Linked DNA regions of Drosophila melanogaster. The protein of the gene in region 3 binds, or shares a complex with, the protein of the main gene of each other region. Each region holds a gene or a part of one and is shown on either strand. Other genes may lie near its edges. The genes, in order: thoc7, thoc5 and thoc6.

The links.
Region 1: thoc6 (region 3) and thoc7 share a complex: the UniProt entries of both Drosophila melanogaster proteins name them as parts of the THO complex.
Region 2: thoc6 (region 3) and thoc5 share a complex: the UniProt entries of both Drosophila melanogaster proteins name them as parts of the THO complex.

What each region holds. Positions count from the first base shown.
Region 1 is NT_037436.4:210,732-214,634, forward strand, and holds thoc7 (thoc7), read right to left. Parts: upstream 1,957-3,903; coding exon 1,887-1,956; intron 1,829-1,886; coding exon 1,714-1,828; intron 1,649-1,713; coding exon 967-1,648; 3' UTR 905-966; downstream 1-904. Other genes in the region: Prp4k (Pre-mRNA processing factor 4 kinase), read right to left, coding at 1-7, 84-488, 561-577; Dis3l2 (Dis3 like 3'-5' exoribonuclease 2), read left to right, coding at 2,019-2,053, 2,113-3,245, 3,301-3,903. UniProt on the Drosophila melanogaster protein: The THO complex is required for cell proliferation and for proper export of heat-shock mRNAs under heat stress.
Region 2 is NT_033778.4:23,952,366-23,957,615, forward strand, and holds thoc5 (thoc5), read left to right. Parts: upstream 1-1,725; 5' UTR 1,726-1,798; coding exon 1,799-1,873; intron 1,874-1,933; coding exon 1,934-2,728; intron 2,729-2,782; coding exon 2,783-2,895; intron 2,896-2,953; coding exon 2,954-3,041; intron 3,042-3,094; coding exon 3,095-3,631; intron 3,632-3,687; coding exon 3,688-3,930; 3' UTR 3,931-4,041; downstream 4,042-5,250. Other genes in the region: Stoml2 (stomatin like 2), read left to right, coding at 1-69; CG3803 (uncharacterized protein), read right to left, coding at 173-1,025, 1,084-1,216, 1,274-1,376, 1,458-1,550; CG16787 (uncharacterized protein), read right to left, coding at 4,056-4,817. UniProt on the Drosophila melanogaster protein: The THO complex is required for cell proliferation and for proper export of heat-shock mRNAs under heat stress.
Region 3 is NT_037436.4:12,190,196-12,195,980, forward strand, and holds thoc6 (thoc6), read right to left. Parts: upstream 3,494-5,785; 5' UTR 3,409-3,493; coding exon 3,296-3,408; intron 3,241-3,295; coding exon 2,301-3,240; 3' UTR 2,299-2,300; exon of another isoform or gene 2,234-2,298; coding exon of another isoform or gene 1,986-2,233; 3' UTR 1,930-1,985; coding exon of another isoform or gene 543-1,929; 3' UTR 501-542; downstream 1-500. Other genes in the region: Est-6 (esterase 6), read left to right, coding at 1-50, 102-349; Est-P (esterase P), read left to right, coding at 543-1,929, 1,986-2,233. UniProt on the Drosophila melanogaster protein: The THO complex is required for cell proliferation and for proper export of heat-shock mRNAs under heat stress.

The DNA.
Region 1 (3,903 bases), about 12 Mb from region 3:
GGCGGGCCTAAAATCAAGAAAGATAAGTGCGAACACCATATGAATTACGAAATCGCTCCCCTATTTTATTCCACAATACTTACACATCGCTTTCGCTGCTTGAACTGGCCACCTCCAGGACAGGCAGCATCTTATTCTGAATAGTTTTGGTGATTTCTTCAACAAGGCTGCTCGGATCCGTCGGAAGCAGGGGTTTGCCGACACGGAAATCGGCTCCATTCCGGCTGGCCTTCTGCATGATTTCTGTGAACTTGCTGCTCAGCCCGCAATTTTGTGATAGCTTTAACTTTGCGTTTTCCGGGGCGTCCGATTCGTTTGTGGATTCGCTTGTTCGGTGGGGGCGCTTTTTTGCCTTCTTCTGCTTCTTGTGGACATGCCTGTCCTTCTCGGTCTTGCCAGTCGAGGATTTTTTATGTTTTTTGTGCTTTTTAGCCTTTTTGTGCTTGGCCCGACGCTCTTCGGTCTCGCTGTTGTTGCTGGAGTCGTAGCTATTCGGTACAAGAGGGGAGCAGCCCAGGTCAATACACACACGTGCGGTCGGCTTAGTAAAATTAACCTACCTTTTGTCGTCAGCCATTATTTGATTGTTTAACAATGTAAACTGCAGATGCGCGCACACTGTGCGTTCATAAGGTGTGCGGTAATTCTGCAGATGGCTAATGAAACTTGTAATTTTCCTCTTATTGTATTCTTCCTCTTCGTAGCTTTTTTAGTGTGACTGCACGCCGGACAAAAGTAAATACGTTTTAAAAATACCTCCTGGGATTTCGGAATTATTTCTAGTATATATGCAAGTAAAATAAAAATATATTAAAATTAAATTTTATAACCCTTAAATATCGTCTTTGGCGCAAGTCTAAATTGGAAATAAAAACGAAGGAATTTCGAAACAACAGTTGAATTTGTATATTATAGTTCATGACATTTTATTTTTTTGTTTTTATTGTACATGCTAGCGCTTCTAACCTAATTGGCAACAGCTACATCCACGTCGTGCTCATCTTTGTCGATGCTTAGCTCAAGCACCGTGTCCTCTTCTACGGACATGGCTTTAGAGTCCTCAGTAGAGACTGAGTGATATTTGGGCTCGCCGCGGGCTCCGTCGAACTTTGTGGGAGTGCTATTGTTGAGATCGTCGTCTTCATCGCTTACCTCCATGATCCCATTGTCGTCTAGGTCCGGCTCAGAGCGGGCATCGCAATCGCTGGACGAGGAGGATGCCGAGGATGAGCTGTCCTGGTCCAGCTGCTGTTCCAGCTCGTGAATCGTGTACATCAGCAAAGTGAAGTCATTGCGTCGTTTCTGAAACTTGCGCTCCATCTTTAGCTTCTTTTGCACCAAGTCGTCAATCTCCCTCCTAATGGTCTCAATATGTCGCTGTGTTTCACTGCGGTCCGGTTGGTCCTGGATGAGCGAGGCCAGCAGGTCGTACTCCATCTTGTTCTTGCGAATCTGCTTGGCAGTGATTAGCTCTTTTTTACTGGATTCGATTTCCGCTTTAGCCAAAACAATACTTTCTTCGTGGTGTTCAACTAGTTGTGTGTAGTTGTCACGCTCACCGGCGATCATCTGCAGAGTTTGTACATTCTTTAACGCAGTGAGCTTGCACTGGGCGAATTGGGCCATCAGTCGGTCGTACATGATGGGACTGTAATTCGGAAAAGAGGAGATATGTACACCATGTTTTGAATACACACATATCCAATTTCTTACTTGCTGTCCAGCGAGTCACTGGCCCACTTCAAGAACTGTTTCAGCAACACTACTATTCTCCGATCCTCTCCAGTTCCATCCCCGTCAATCAGCAGGCGCTGCTTTATGATTTCTTCTGGAAGATCAGTTTAAATATCTATTCCCAAATGCGAAAATAAACAAAAACAACTTACCGTCATTCATCTCCACTAATTTCCGAACTAGCGTATCGGAGTGTGGCCGAAGCTGACACTGCTCCGACATACCACGCAGTACGGTCCTACTGTACTTGTCCTATCATTTTAATTTGGAGAAAGTATTGAATTATGCCTTACCCTTTATATCCCGCCCATAGCCAAGTGTAGTGCCGTACACTTTCGGACATCAGCGAATCCCATTAACTAAGTGCACTTCTTGCAGAATGTCGGAAACGTCAAGCGTCAACGTGGATGCGGACCGAGATTGCAGAAGGATTGAGGGCCTCCGACAGCGCTCACAACGCCTTGCTGCCCGCCTCCAGCAGATGCAGAGGGAAATGGAGTCTAATGCATCCAGCAAAGACCTATCGGCCAACAATGCCGTTATTCCGCTGCAGCCACTAATGCGCTGGGCGGAACCACGGCCACATCCCAACCAATCCCAACCATCTGCTCGGAGCAACAGCAGGCAGGCCATTCCTTACGGTGTGCCAGTATCCACGCCAGCGCCGGTAGCTATGCAATTGCCCTACCACGTAGCATTCGCCTCCTACCAGGCGACCATGCAGATTCCCTGCCTTCAGCCACTTTCGCATTTGCACGTCGTGTCTAGTCCCAGCCATCGGTTAATAGCGAAAAAGAAGTCGAAGCGGGCTCTTCGAAATGAGGTGGAAGCTCTTCAGGATATGGTCAAACATCTTTCACACCTCTCCCCAGATGTTAACGCGTATGCCTGCCAGCTGATACGTAAAAACGAGATCCTTTCTCAGCTCGAGTGGAGTCAGACCAGGTCAGAAGCACATCCGCAACAGGTTGGTTACCAGGGGCGGCATCGCCACGATTCTGAGGTCTCTGCTACAAACAATGGAAGTCATGTACAGCAGCAACCGAAACTAGGACGAAGGCAACGCAATAGCAAGAAAAACGATGGATCCGGTAGCAATGGGACCCAATCGCAAAAAACCGAACTAGAGGCCATGCGGTCGTACATAAACAAGATTGTCCAACGTCACGTGGGTATGGATCACCAGTTGTCGGAAGACTTGATTTTCAAAGGTAACTTCTCCGACCTGGAAGCGCATGCGCAGAGACTAGTTGCGGCGGGTTATGGGCGCATTGTAGAAGAGGAAATCCGGGTTAACCGCAAGAACAACAGACAGGCCTTTATAATCATGTCCACTGATCGAGAAGCACTCGAACGAGATGGCATCGTGCTCTTGCCAGTGGCTAGGCGCTATGCCTTCGATGGTGACAAAGTACGTGCATTCGTGCTAAACCCTGGTGCTCAGGGTAGTTCAAAGACAGCTGAGCCCTCGTCTGGTGAAATCTCTGGTGGGAAGCCCTCATTATCTCTTGGTAAGTTTATCGGCAAACTTATAATACTTTCGACTGATGATAATATCCTATAAAGCGGATGGTGAGGAGCTTTCGGACGATACCGAGTCCCAGGGCTCTGAGTCCGATACCGACAACGTGGTCGTGATATCGTCGGACAACTGCCCTAAAGCGTTCGTCATAGCAATAACTAAACGAACTGAGCTCCGCCAGATCGTGGGAACCATATCGTTTACGAACCCAACCAAACTCTGTGACGACCAGCTATTCTACAAATTCCGACCGTACGATTTGCGTGTCCCCATGGTCTACGTTCCGAAGGATGCCTGTGCCGCCCACATCGGAAACAAGCAGCAAATAGACGTGTCCGGCCTCTTATACCTTGCCCATATACTCGAGACAGATTGCAATGGGCACTGCATCGCTGAACTAATCCAGCCGGTTGGCCGCGTGGGTAATTTGGATGACGAACTTAAGGCAATTCTGTTTCATAACGGTCTCCGGGATATAAAGCCATTTGAGCAACGATTTATCGACATTTACTCCCAGCCGCCACCTCCGATAAGCCAAGAGGATCTGCGTCAACGAAAAGACTTAAGAAAGATGTGCATATTTACTATAGATCCGATGACTGCTCGCGATTTGGATGACGCCGTTTCTATAGAGAAGCTAGGCGACA
Region 2 (5,250 bases), on a different chromosome or scaffold from region 3:
AACGCAAAGAGTGTTGAGTACAAGGAGTTGCAGGAGGATAAAAGCAGTGTGAAAATGAATATTGAATAGGAATGAATAAACGGTTGTTGCTATTACATTTGCCCCACTCATAGTTGTTATTATCAAGGCGAGGATATTAAATTTTTGGTTCAACAAATAAACGCCTATTTATTTACTTCGGAAGGTACTTCAACAGTCGAACCTCGTGCGACAGCCACAATGCGAAACTCAGCAGAATAAGCGAGCCCGACTGGTGGGCCGTTGCCAGAGGCACGGGCACGTAGTTAAGCAAGGTGGTTACGCCAAGCGTGGCCTGCGTCCAGGCCATAGCCACCACGGCGTTGATGGCCCAGTTGGCGCGCTTGGGCAACTGCATCCTTCTGGTGACCAGCCACAGAGCGGTGGTCAGCGTTACTGTGCTAATACCAAGGATGCGGTGATTGAACTGCACCGTCGTCGGATTCTCGGTGATGTTCTTCTGTATGGGCGCAAACGTCCACATGTCATCGGGAATCCACTTGTCGCCCATCTTCGGGAACGAGTTGTACACGAGTCCGGCGTCTAGTCCGGCTACAAAGGCTCCAGAAATGGCAGTCAGCAGGACCATTGCCTTCGTCAAATGCGTCAGCCCCTTGATATTAAATGCTTTCTTGGCTTGGATCACGAATGTGTTCGTGGGGATGAGCAGGGACATGGCCTTTGACAGGGAGAGTGAGTACAGGACGAAGGCAGCTGCCAGGTGGGAGGCCAATCTATACTGGGATACCCGTGGCACGTCGTTGGGATCCTGGAACCTGTCTTCCAGCCCGGACTTGACCATGTACCATCCCATCAGACCTTGCAGGCCAATCAGTGTGCCCAGCAGCAGGACGCTCTTCTTGGTCTTCGCACAGAAGTATCCCTTTCTCCAGAAGTAAACAGCGGGCAAAAGGAAGAACCCGCCGATGGCACGACCCCACATCCTGTGCATGTACTCCATCATGAAAATGAACTTGAACTCCTCCACGGTCATATTCACATTCTTTCTGAAAGCAGAAGTTTGCATGTAGTTCCTGGCGTTGGATGAATCTGGGGAGTACTCACAGCTTGTACTCTGGGTATTGCTGGTAGAGATTGAACTCCTGCACCCATTCCTCCTGGGTTCGGGGCATACGTTCACCCGTCAGCTTCCAAGTGACCATGGACAGTCCGGACTCTGTCAGTCGGGTTACTCCGCCTGGAAGAGATTCACTTTCGCAAGGAACTACAAACTTTACATTTTGTTATTGGTTACCTAGACCAACGGCCACGAAGACCATGCCGCTGACTCCCAGGAACCATCTTCCGACGGTCTTGTCGCTTTTCGGAGTGCTGATGGGCTTTATCACTGGGATTTCCTGAAAGGTGCGGCATTAACAAATATTACTTTATAAATAAAAACATATTTTTATATGTAATCAGTGGGATATTAATGCAACCTTTATCGCTGTTTGCGCAATCGTCTGGTGAAGTCGGGGGCCGGGTACTACTAGCTTTATGAGATTGGTTCTCTTCTGGAGCAATCGCAGCATTGTGTTATTTCAAGTTTGGAGAGATTAACTTAAGCTTACAGCAAATATTAAAGGATATATTTTGTTTTTTAACTATATTTACAAAGCCGCTACCAAGTGTGACCGCAGCAGTGGGGTATGCGCATATACTAAAATCATTTTGAAAAGTACCGGCGAATGTTATCGACTCGATAGCCTGGCCACATTATATCAGTTTTGTTAATAAAAACAACTTTTGCGGCTTCTGATTTACAATTTCGCCAAATAAAATGGAAACAATATTGAACACGCAGTTCGATCAGCTGCAAAAGGCCATAGAGGGAATTAAGGAGGCGAAGAGCAAGGTAAGTCCGATTTCCGTGCCAGAGTACAGCTCTAAATCCGTCCACATCCGTCACGAGCAGGGGCAATCGACGGATGAGGCTCGCATTGCCACCACCTTGATGTTCGTGGCTCTGAAGCACGCCAACCGCGAGGTGAAGCACAAGATCAAAGCGGGGCGCGACAAGCTGCACCTGGAAAAGTGCAAGGTGGACCTCAGCCGGCTGCAGCTGCAGAATCTTCTGTACGAAGTGAGCCACCTGAAGAAGGAGATTGTGCGCTGCCAGAAGTTCAAGAGCAGGGACACCAGCTTGGAGCTGCTCTCGGAAGCCGAGTACTCCAGCGAGCTGCCAGACATGCCCAACGACGCGGAGGAGCTGTCCAGCCACAAGCAGCACCTTCATCGCCTCGACTGCGAGCTGCGTCTGCGGAAGGCACTCGACAAGCAGTACAGCGCCCTGCTGAGCTCCAAGCAGGAACTGCTCCAGGACAATCTTAGCCACGCCCAGCGGTACGTCTCCTTCGCACCCGCCTTGCGCACTCTGCAGAGCGCCACAAAGCCGCTGCACGATGCACTCCAGCTATCCCTGGACGTGGAATGGAAGCTAAGCGCAGTGGTCAAGTACCTGCCCAAGCCGCTCTACGTTTTGTTCATTGTCCTGCAATCGCTGCAGCGGGTCAGCGAGGAGCAGTCCTTCACCGCCGAGGTGGTTGGCTATGAGAGCGAGGCTCAAATGCAGGAGTTGCTTAAGGAGAAAAAGTGCTCCACATTGAACTACAGACAGACTAAAAAGGAAAGTGGAGACCGGGAAAAGATTGCCGATAAAAACAACTTGGACGACTCACTCGCTCCTCACCCACTACACATTTGTTTGACGGTAGGATGACATGGTTTGCTCATTCCAAAACATTTATTAACCTAAACTTTAAAGATTGGAGCGGCTGGATCGAATCAGCTCGTTTTGCAGATTCGCTACTTTGATTTTATCAAGTGTGCCACTGTCTGGGGCCAACTTAACTGCTCCAGGAATGCCAACGGCCAGGGGTAAGTTTGGAACACACCTAGGAAAAAATCGCATAAATAACTAGGCATTTTTTCACAGTGACACAAACTTTGTTCACCACCTATTGCGGCATTTGTACCCCAATGACTTGGGCAATGAATTACCCATTCCGGGAATCCAATACGAGGTAAGAACTTCCTTATCCAACGTTGGACAACCAATTAAATTACGCTCTTTCAGCTACGAAGCTCGGATTTAACAGCCGAGGAATGTGTGCGCTACCTCAAGGCCAAGGACTACGGAAAACCCTTCTGTTGGCTGCAAAGTATGTGCTCGATTGCAACCGTCAACAGTTCGATGCTGTACAAACACGAACTGAACTTGAATAAGAACAACAAGGAGATTATTGACCGCATTGCCAGGCGCTTGAACTCTTGGCAGCGTTTAAGCCAGCAGATTCGCGGGCTGACCTTCAAGGATATCGATTTGTATAGCTTGCAGGAGAACATCTATCCAGCCGGCCTGTCGTGCAGTCTCGTCCAATGGACTGCCATCACACATGAGGAGCTTCACTCGCAAATTTCAGACGCACTGAATTCTTCGTCAGCGGACAAGGGTATTACGTACAACTCTTACCGCGCTGTCATCGTCCGGGGATCGGCCAAAATGGAGTGCTTTATTAGAATACCGAGTAACTATCCACTGGAAATGCCTCTATGGATTCTGAATGTGCACTGGAACGGATGCCTTACCGCGCAAAACAATTCGGCGATCAAGGTTTGAACTTATTCAGGTATTATCCTCCAATTAGCTTTTAAACTTGTATTCCTCAGATGATGGAGTTCTGGACCAACTCCCTGCAGCCCAAACATTTGGAGCCCAACGACTGCATCCTGTACGCGCAGCTCTTCCGCACCATCTACAGCTTCGATATATTCCTCGAAACCGAGGGATCCATGCAAAACACCATTGAGTACAACAAGGAGAAGCCTTACATAAGCGCCTTCGCCAAGCGGAGCCGCTCACGCCCCTACAAATACATCAAGAAGGGATCGGTCTACGCGTTCAAGCAGTGACAGTTGAATAACGAATGTTGTACAACACAATGCGCCAATGCGGTTACTAAACGTTCTCACAGTTGCGTTTATTACGATTAGTAATACAATAAATAAGTAACATTTAAAGCTAGCTAGCTACGACTTCATTGGCAGTTGATCTTCTGGGAAGAGGTCGCTGCCAAGGATCCGGGAGGTAGTGCCGTCGCAGAAGGGTTCTCAACCGCCTCCCGACTCTCGTCCGGCATCACTTTGTCCACGACGTGCTTGACGATCAGCCCATCGTCGCCCAGATAGCAGACAGAGTAGCCGTCGTACCAGGCCTCCTGATCCTTCAGCACCTCCTTCAGTTGCCAGAGCTTGTACTTCCAGAACTGGAACATGACCTTCAGGCCGGAAATGCCGCGCACTCGCCACCTTATCCGCACTGTGTAGTCGTCCTGGTGCTTCGTGATCTTGAGCACCTCGAATTTCACGTAGGCGTACTTCAGGTGGCCAACCGTTCGCAGGATGGCGATCTGTTTGACGTAGTGGTACAGGCCCACCGTGTGCTTGCCCGTTATGTTGTTGTGGAAGATTAGGCCCGGGCTGTAAATGGAGTAGTCTAGGGGCTCCACGAACAGCTTTGGTAGCGTGGTCCTCAGAACCTCGTAGGCTCTATCCAGGTCCTCGGGCTTACGCTCGTTCTCCTTAGGGTTCCCGGGCAGCCTCTCCGCTTTGGTGCTCTCGTAGGCCCTTCGACTTTGCTGGAGGTTATTGGCGGCATGGCTGTTTAACAACTTTTGTGGACACTTCGCCGGCGCAGACGCACTTAGCCGCATGGCGGACGCCCACGCCCGCTCCTTGGAGCACCAGTTGGCCATCCAGCTGCTCCTTCTTATTGATGAAATCCCGAAATTTCGCAACATCTTGCAAGGACTTTGTGTGCTACTTCCTTCACCGGAACTGGGTTTCCTCGATTCAGATCTGCCTCGTCTGCAGATCACACCATTCAAATTGAACTTAGATCCTGGCTATTTTTCGTTTGCGGCCCTCAGGAATTTGACGTGCTCGTGTTTAGGTAACAACATTTGGAAATAAAATACTCGGCAAAAATCATATGGTCGTTGGGCTGCAGTGTGGCCAGACTGTGTGTAATGTCCCAATAGCTGCGAGTGCCAGTGTGGATGTTAGGGGAACTCCCGTTGTCCAGGGTTGTCATGCCGGATTAGTTTCACAAATTAACTTCCGCAACCGGAAGTCATGAAAATGGAAAATATAACTTATTTGGTTTGAATTTAGTGTTTCAAGCTTATTACATGAAATATGTTGTCTCTTTTTTGAAGTGCAATAATCTCAAAC
Region 3 (5,785 bases):
CGAAAAAGGAATCGCACAGGTCCTGGCCAATCGAACCGATTATGATTTTGGTAAGGAAATCGTACTTTTAAATGGACTTAGTTAAATCATTACTTTTATAGGAACTGTACACGGTGACGACTACTTTTTGATATTCGAAAATTTCGTACGAGATGTGGAAATGCGTCCGGATGAGCAGATAATTTCGAGAAATTTTATCAATATGCTGGCAGATTTTGCTTCGAGTGATAATGGCTCTCTAAAATATGGTGAATGCGATTTCAAAGATAATGTAGGTAGTGAGAAATTCCAATTATTAGCTATTTATATTGATGGCTGCCAGAATAGGCAGCATGTGGAATTTCCGTAAGTTACATGAATAAAATCAAAAATTTTTCGTTCTGTGTAATTTTTAATTATTTAATTATTCTCAACTGGCTTTAAATATCATTTGTACAAAACGTGTTTGTCGCTTTATATTTTGGTTTTTGTTGTTTCTTTATAAAGAATAATAAACGTTTGTTTACCCGCAGTTTGATTAGTACTTTGTGGAGTTCCAGATCATGAGTATATTCAAACGGCTGTTGTGCCTGACTTTGCTGTGGATAGCAGCTTTAGAATCTGAAGCTGATCCCTTGATTGTTGAGATAACAAATGGAAAAATCCGTGGCAAAGATAATGGGTTGTACTACAGCTACGAATCGATTCCCAATGCCGAGCATCCAACTGGTGCCCTCCGTTTTGAAGCACCTCAGCCGTATAGTCATCATTGGACTGATGTTTTCAATGCCACGCAGTCTCCAGTTGAGTGCATGCAGTGGAATCAGTTTATAAACGAAAACAATAAGCTGATGGGTGATGAGGATTGCTTAACGGTAAGCATCTATAAGCCAAAGAAACCCAATCGGAGCAGCTTTCCTGTCGTAGTACTCCTGCATGGAGGTGCTTTCATGTTCGGTAGTGGATCCATATATGGACACGACTCCATTATGCGTGAGGGAACTTTGCTTGTGGTAAAAATAAGTTTTGGTCTTGGACCATTGGGTTTTGCAAGTACCGGCGATAGACACTTGCCGGGAAACTATGGTCTAAAGGATCAACGTCTGGCCCTACAATGGATCAAGAAGAACATTGCTCACTTTGGTGGAATGCCAGATAATATTGTGCTCATTGGTCACTCTGCAGGCGGTGCTTCGGCTCATTTGCAGCTGTTGCACGAGGATTTCAAACATTTGGCCAAAGGAGCGATTTCGGTGAGCGGCAATGCATTGGATCCTTGGGTCATACAGCAGGGTGGACGACGACGTGCATTTGAACTGGGTCGTATTGTCGGTTGTGGACACACAAATGTCTCCGCAGAACTCAAGGACTGCTTGAAGTCTAAGCCGGCTAGCGATATAGTCTCTGCTGTCCGAAGCTTCCTTGTGTTTTCCTATGTACCCTTCAGTGCTTTTGGACCTGTTGTGGAGCCGTCAGATGCACCAGACGCCTTTCTAACCGAGGACCCAAGAGCAGTGATTAAGAGCGGGAAGTTTGCCCAAGTCCCTTGGGCTGTGACGTACACCACTGAGGACGGGGGATACAACGCTGCTCAGCTGTTGGAAAGAAACAAATTAACTGGCGAGAGTTGGATTGACCTACTCAATGATCGATGGTTTGATTGGGCACCATACTTGCTCTTCTATCGGGACGCCAAGAAAACCATCAAAGATATGGATGATCTTTCATTTGATCTCAGGCAGCAGTATCTAGCAGATCGGCGATTCAGTGTGGAAAGTTATTGGAACGTGCAGCGAATGTTTACTGATGTTCTTTTCAAGAATAGCGTGCCAAGTGCAATAGATCTTCACCGAAAGTATGGCAAAAGTCCGGTTTATTCTTTTGTCTACGATAATCCTACCGATTCCGGAGTGGGTCAATTGCTTTCCAATCGAACAGATGTACATTTTGGTGGGTACATACTTGCGTTTCAAATACTTAAAGCTCTAGCTTTCTTATTATTAAAGGTACTGTCCACGGAGATGACTTTTTCTTGATTTTCAATACAGCTGCATACCGTACCGGCATTCGTCCGGATGAAGAAGTTATTTCAAAAAAGTTTATAGGTATGCTGGAGGATTTCGCACTCAACGATAAGGGAACATTAACATTTGGAGAATGTAATTTCCAAAATAATGTGAACAGCAAGGAATATCAAGTGCTGCGTATTTCACGAAACGCTTGTAAAAACGAGGAATATGCTCGGTTTCCCTAAGGAATAAATGCATTTAAAAAATGTAAACAGTATAATAATGTAATTAAAGAACAAATTTATTACACCTTTATGCCGCCTCAACTGTCAGAGGTTTTTCAATAAGTTCGTCTTCTTCTTCTGGGTCGTTTTCCTCGCCCTCCACATTCCCATACATCTCAATCTTGCTGTCGAGGAAGCGAAAATCCTTGAGGATATGCAACTTGTTGCTGAAACCAGCAATGGAAATGAATTTAATGGGCGATGTTTGCCAAACAGCAGAGTAGCAGGCAGTGTGCTCCACGGGAATATTGGCTTGCAGTACTCCATTTAGAGTGTAGGATTGCACATGATTGTGCTCTCCACCGATTAAGACACAATCGTCCACAAAGTCACATAGATGCACGCGTCCGGGGAAGCTAAAGACACATGTGCTTTCCATGGAACGCAGGTGGAAAATTGAAGCTTTGGGTCCACCACCGCAGAGCAGCCAATCCTCGTTGACAGCCACTGCTCCTATCCATTTGCCCCAATCCGGACGTAACAGATTTGGGTTCTTGTAAGGCTCCAGCATTGAAGTGTGCTGCTGCTGCTTGGTGCTCCACACTCGCACAGTGCCATCCTCGGCGCCAGAGAAGATCTGTCCGTTGGCATTGCCCACCACACTGTGCACGTAGTCTGTGTGTCCGCGGTACTCGCGCTGAATTCGTCCGTCCTCCAAACTCACTTGGTAGATCACTCCGTCGCCACAGCCAGCAAACAGGATGCTATTTTCCGAGTCCAGCCACATGGAGTTCACATCCGGCACTTCGACGGCATCCACTTGCATGGGTATCTTTACCTCCCAGGACCGTTTGGTGGCCAGAGATTCCTCCTCCTCGTTCCATTCCAATCCGTAAATAAGACCCACTGCACCAACTATCAAGAAATCGCGATGGAAGGCCAGGTAATTGATGTCCACATCGCTGCCCTGCGGGAAGATCTTCAGTTTGCCAGGTGGCTCCTCGGAACCCTTGTCCAGTTCTTTTATTCTTCAAAATAGAAAAACAATTAGTTGGGAAATTGCGCCAAATTAAGGATTCTCACCTAAGTACGAAAATGTCGCCAAAGAGATTTCCCGCAAATAGGTACTGTTTAGAGCCGGATATAGCCTGTGCTAGGACATTGTTGTAAGCGCGTTTCAGATCCTTTTGTTTCATATTTTTAGCTAATTTAATTAATTTAACCAAATTGTATCGCTTTGTTTACGCCGGCTCTCTAGAGTGACCGTTCCTGAGCAATATACCAAGAACAGTATATTATTTTTGAAAAATATACCTAAAAGTGCGTTAGTATATTACGTAGCATTCACGTTACGTTCAATTACGTTAACCGTTAGCCAACGTAACGTGGATTTTGAATTTACGAAATAACCTGTTTTCAATCATTCGACATTCTTTTGATTTTGAGGAAATACAATTGAAAACCAATTGTAATTGCAATTGCATGAGCAAAATCGTTCGCCGGAGATTGCAATTCGATTTCCTCATAAAAAATTTCATTCTCCATGTGTCTGCCACAAATTATCGTGTGTGTCAGAAGTAAGAGTGCTCTCCGTAAATGTTTATTTACGATTAATCTCATTAATTGTAAACTGGACAGCGGCCTAAAATCGGAATTTCAGCTTTAATCAGACATGAAGTTCGATGGCATTCAGCTAATTAAATATTTTTTTTTGCATTGTCACAGTGAGAGCCGATATTTAAGAAAGTCTGAGACCTTTCAGACAGGTGAAATACTAGTTGAGTTGACTAATCGCCTTAAAATATGGATTTGTAAACCCATCATGACGTTTAATATTTGACTCCATCCATTCAATTCATGACTTAATAAATTGGATTAACGTGAATCATCAGATGATGATGGAAAAGTCTTCAATATGACGTCAATTTTTGGGGAGATCTTTAAAGTTGAAGAGCGTGCTCGTACCCATGTTTGCCTATAAACAAATGCTGATTGCCCACTTATGATTGGAAAACAATAATAGGCAGCTTGAAATTAAATGGCTATCAACATCAGGTTTCCGTTGTTTACCAATCAAACATAACATAATTTACCTGATCTTTTATTTACCTTATAAATTCTACGATGCTATGGCTTCATCAAAAATTCCATGTTGATGATTAAGAAATACAATACAATATTTTCTACATTAAAATTGATCTAGTCGATGTTACACATAAAATGAAGACTATTGAAATTAAATGTTTCCCATTTAATAAAATACTCTTCCCCTATTAAATATTAAGATTAATACAGAAGTCATGTATTAGCCTAATACAAATTCTAATGTGTGTTGTTGATACACATTTTTCAGCCTGTTGTTCTCGGCCGTTCTAATCGTTCTAATTTATATGCAAATACCTATGGCTTATTAATGTCGAGACAGTCGATTTGAAATTAATTATTTTGGCGCCACAGAGCTGTTCGAACTGTCGCAGCATAATTCACATACTTGAACAAAAAAAAAAAAAAAAAAAACATCGAAAATTCCCCAATTCCCATTAAGGCCCAGAACTTTTGTGGAACTTCTCGTTGGGCGTTTGAAATGCGGTTTTCCGGCTTAATCAATGCCTTATCATATCGAGTTTTTATTTTTAAACGACTGTAGCTGCGCTTCATTTGGCATCATATTAATGGCATGCAAATTTAATTTGACAACTTGACGTATCATGCCAATTTGAAACGAGATTCCAAGACGATTTGCTTTTTTTGACGACTTTCTTAGGTTTTTATTGGACCATTTGGATTGGCATTTCGCACGTGTTTTTTTTTTCTGGGAATTCCAATGTGCTCGGAACCGAAAACAGATACATTTTCAAGTCTGGCTTACTGGCGCCAAAAAGTTTCTTTCAATTTGAGTAACGGCTATCGAGCGATCAAGCGATCAAGCGATCAAGCGATCAAACGATCATCTTTCTTTCTTTTTTCACCCCGACTAATGATAAATGCCTTTGATGAATTTTAGCCAAATTTTGTTTGCTACACAACAGCTCATGATGTAGTCATGGGAGTTTGTTTTTGTGTGGCCCAGTATTTGGTTGTATTTTGGGAAATCCCCAAGAGCCATAAATTTCTTCTAAGCGGCTCTTTCTTCTTTCTATCTAGCTTATTTTTGTTTGCCATACCTCGCTTCCCCTTCGCGAATTAAATTAGATCCAACCGGATCTAGTTTGTCCAAATCTCTCTGGGTCTTTTGGTCCCTCGAGAAGATCGTTAGCCCTCGGGAGGAAATGGAATCGCGCCGGAGGGAGTGGAACTTTTACTGCCTGGCGAAAAGTGGTATGGCGACTACTGGTTCTACGCCGTTGCATATTAAAAACTCATTCGGCGGCGGGGTTTTAAACATTAATTATTATTTCTTTTTTTTTTTGAAAACGAAACAAATGGTGTTAGCTGACGTCAACGGCCGATTTGATGTGCCCATTTCGATACGGCAGCCAAAGATGTTGGTCAATGCACTCAACATGCGCCCAATTAGACACCAGATCGATCCAAAATTCGGCTTTCTACCTATGATATATCCACGATTCGGAA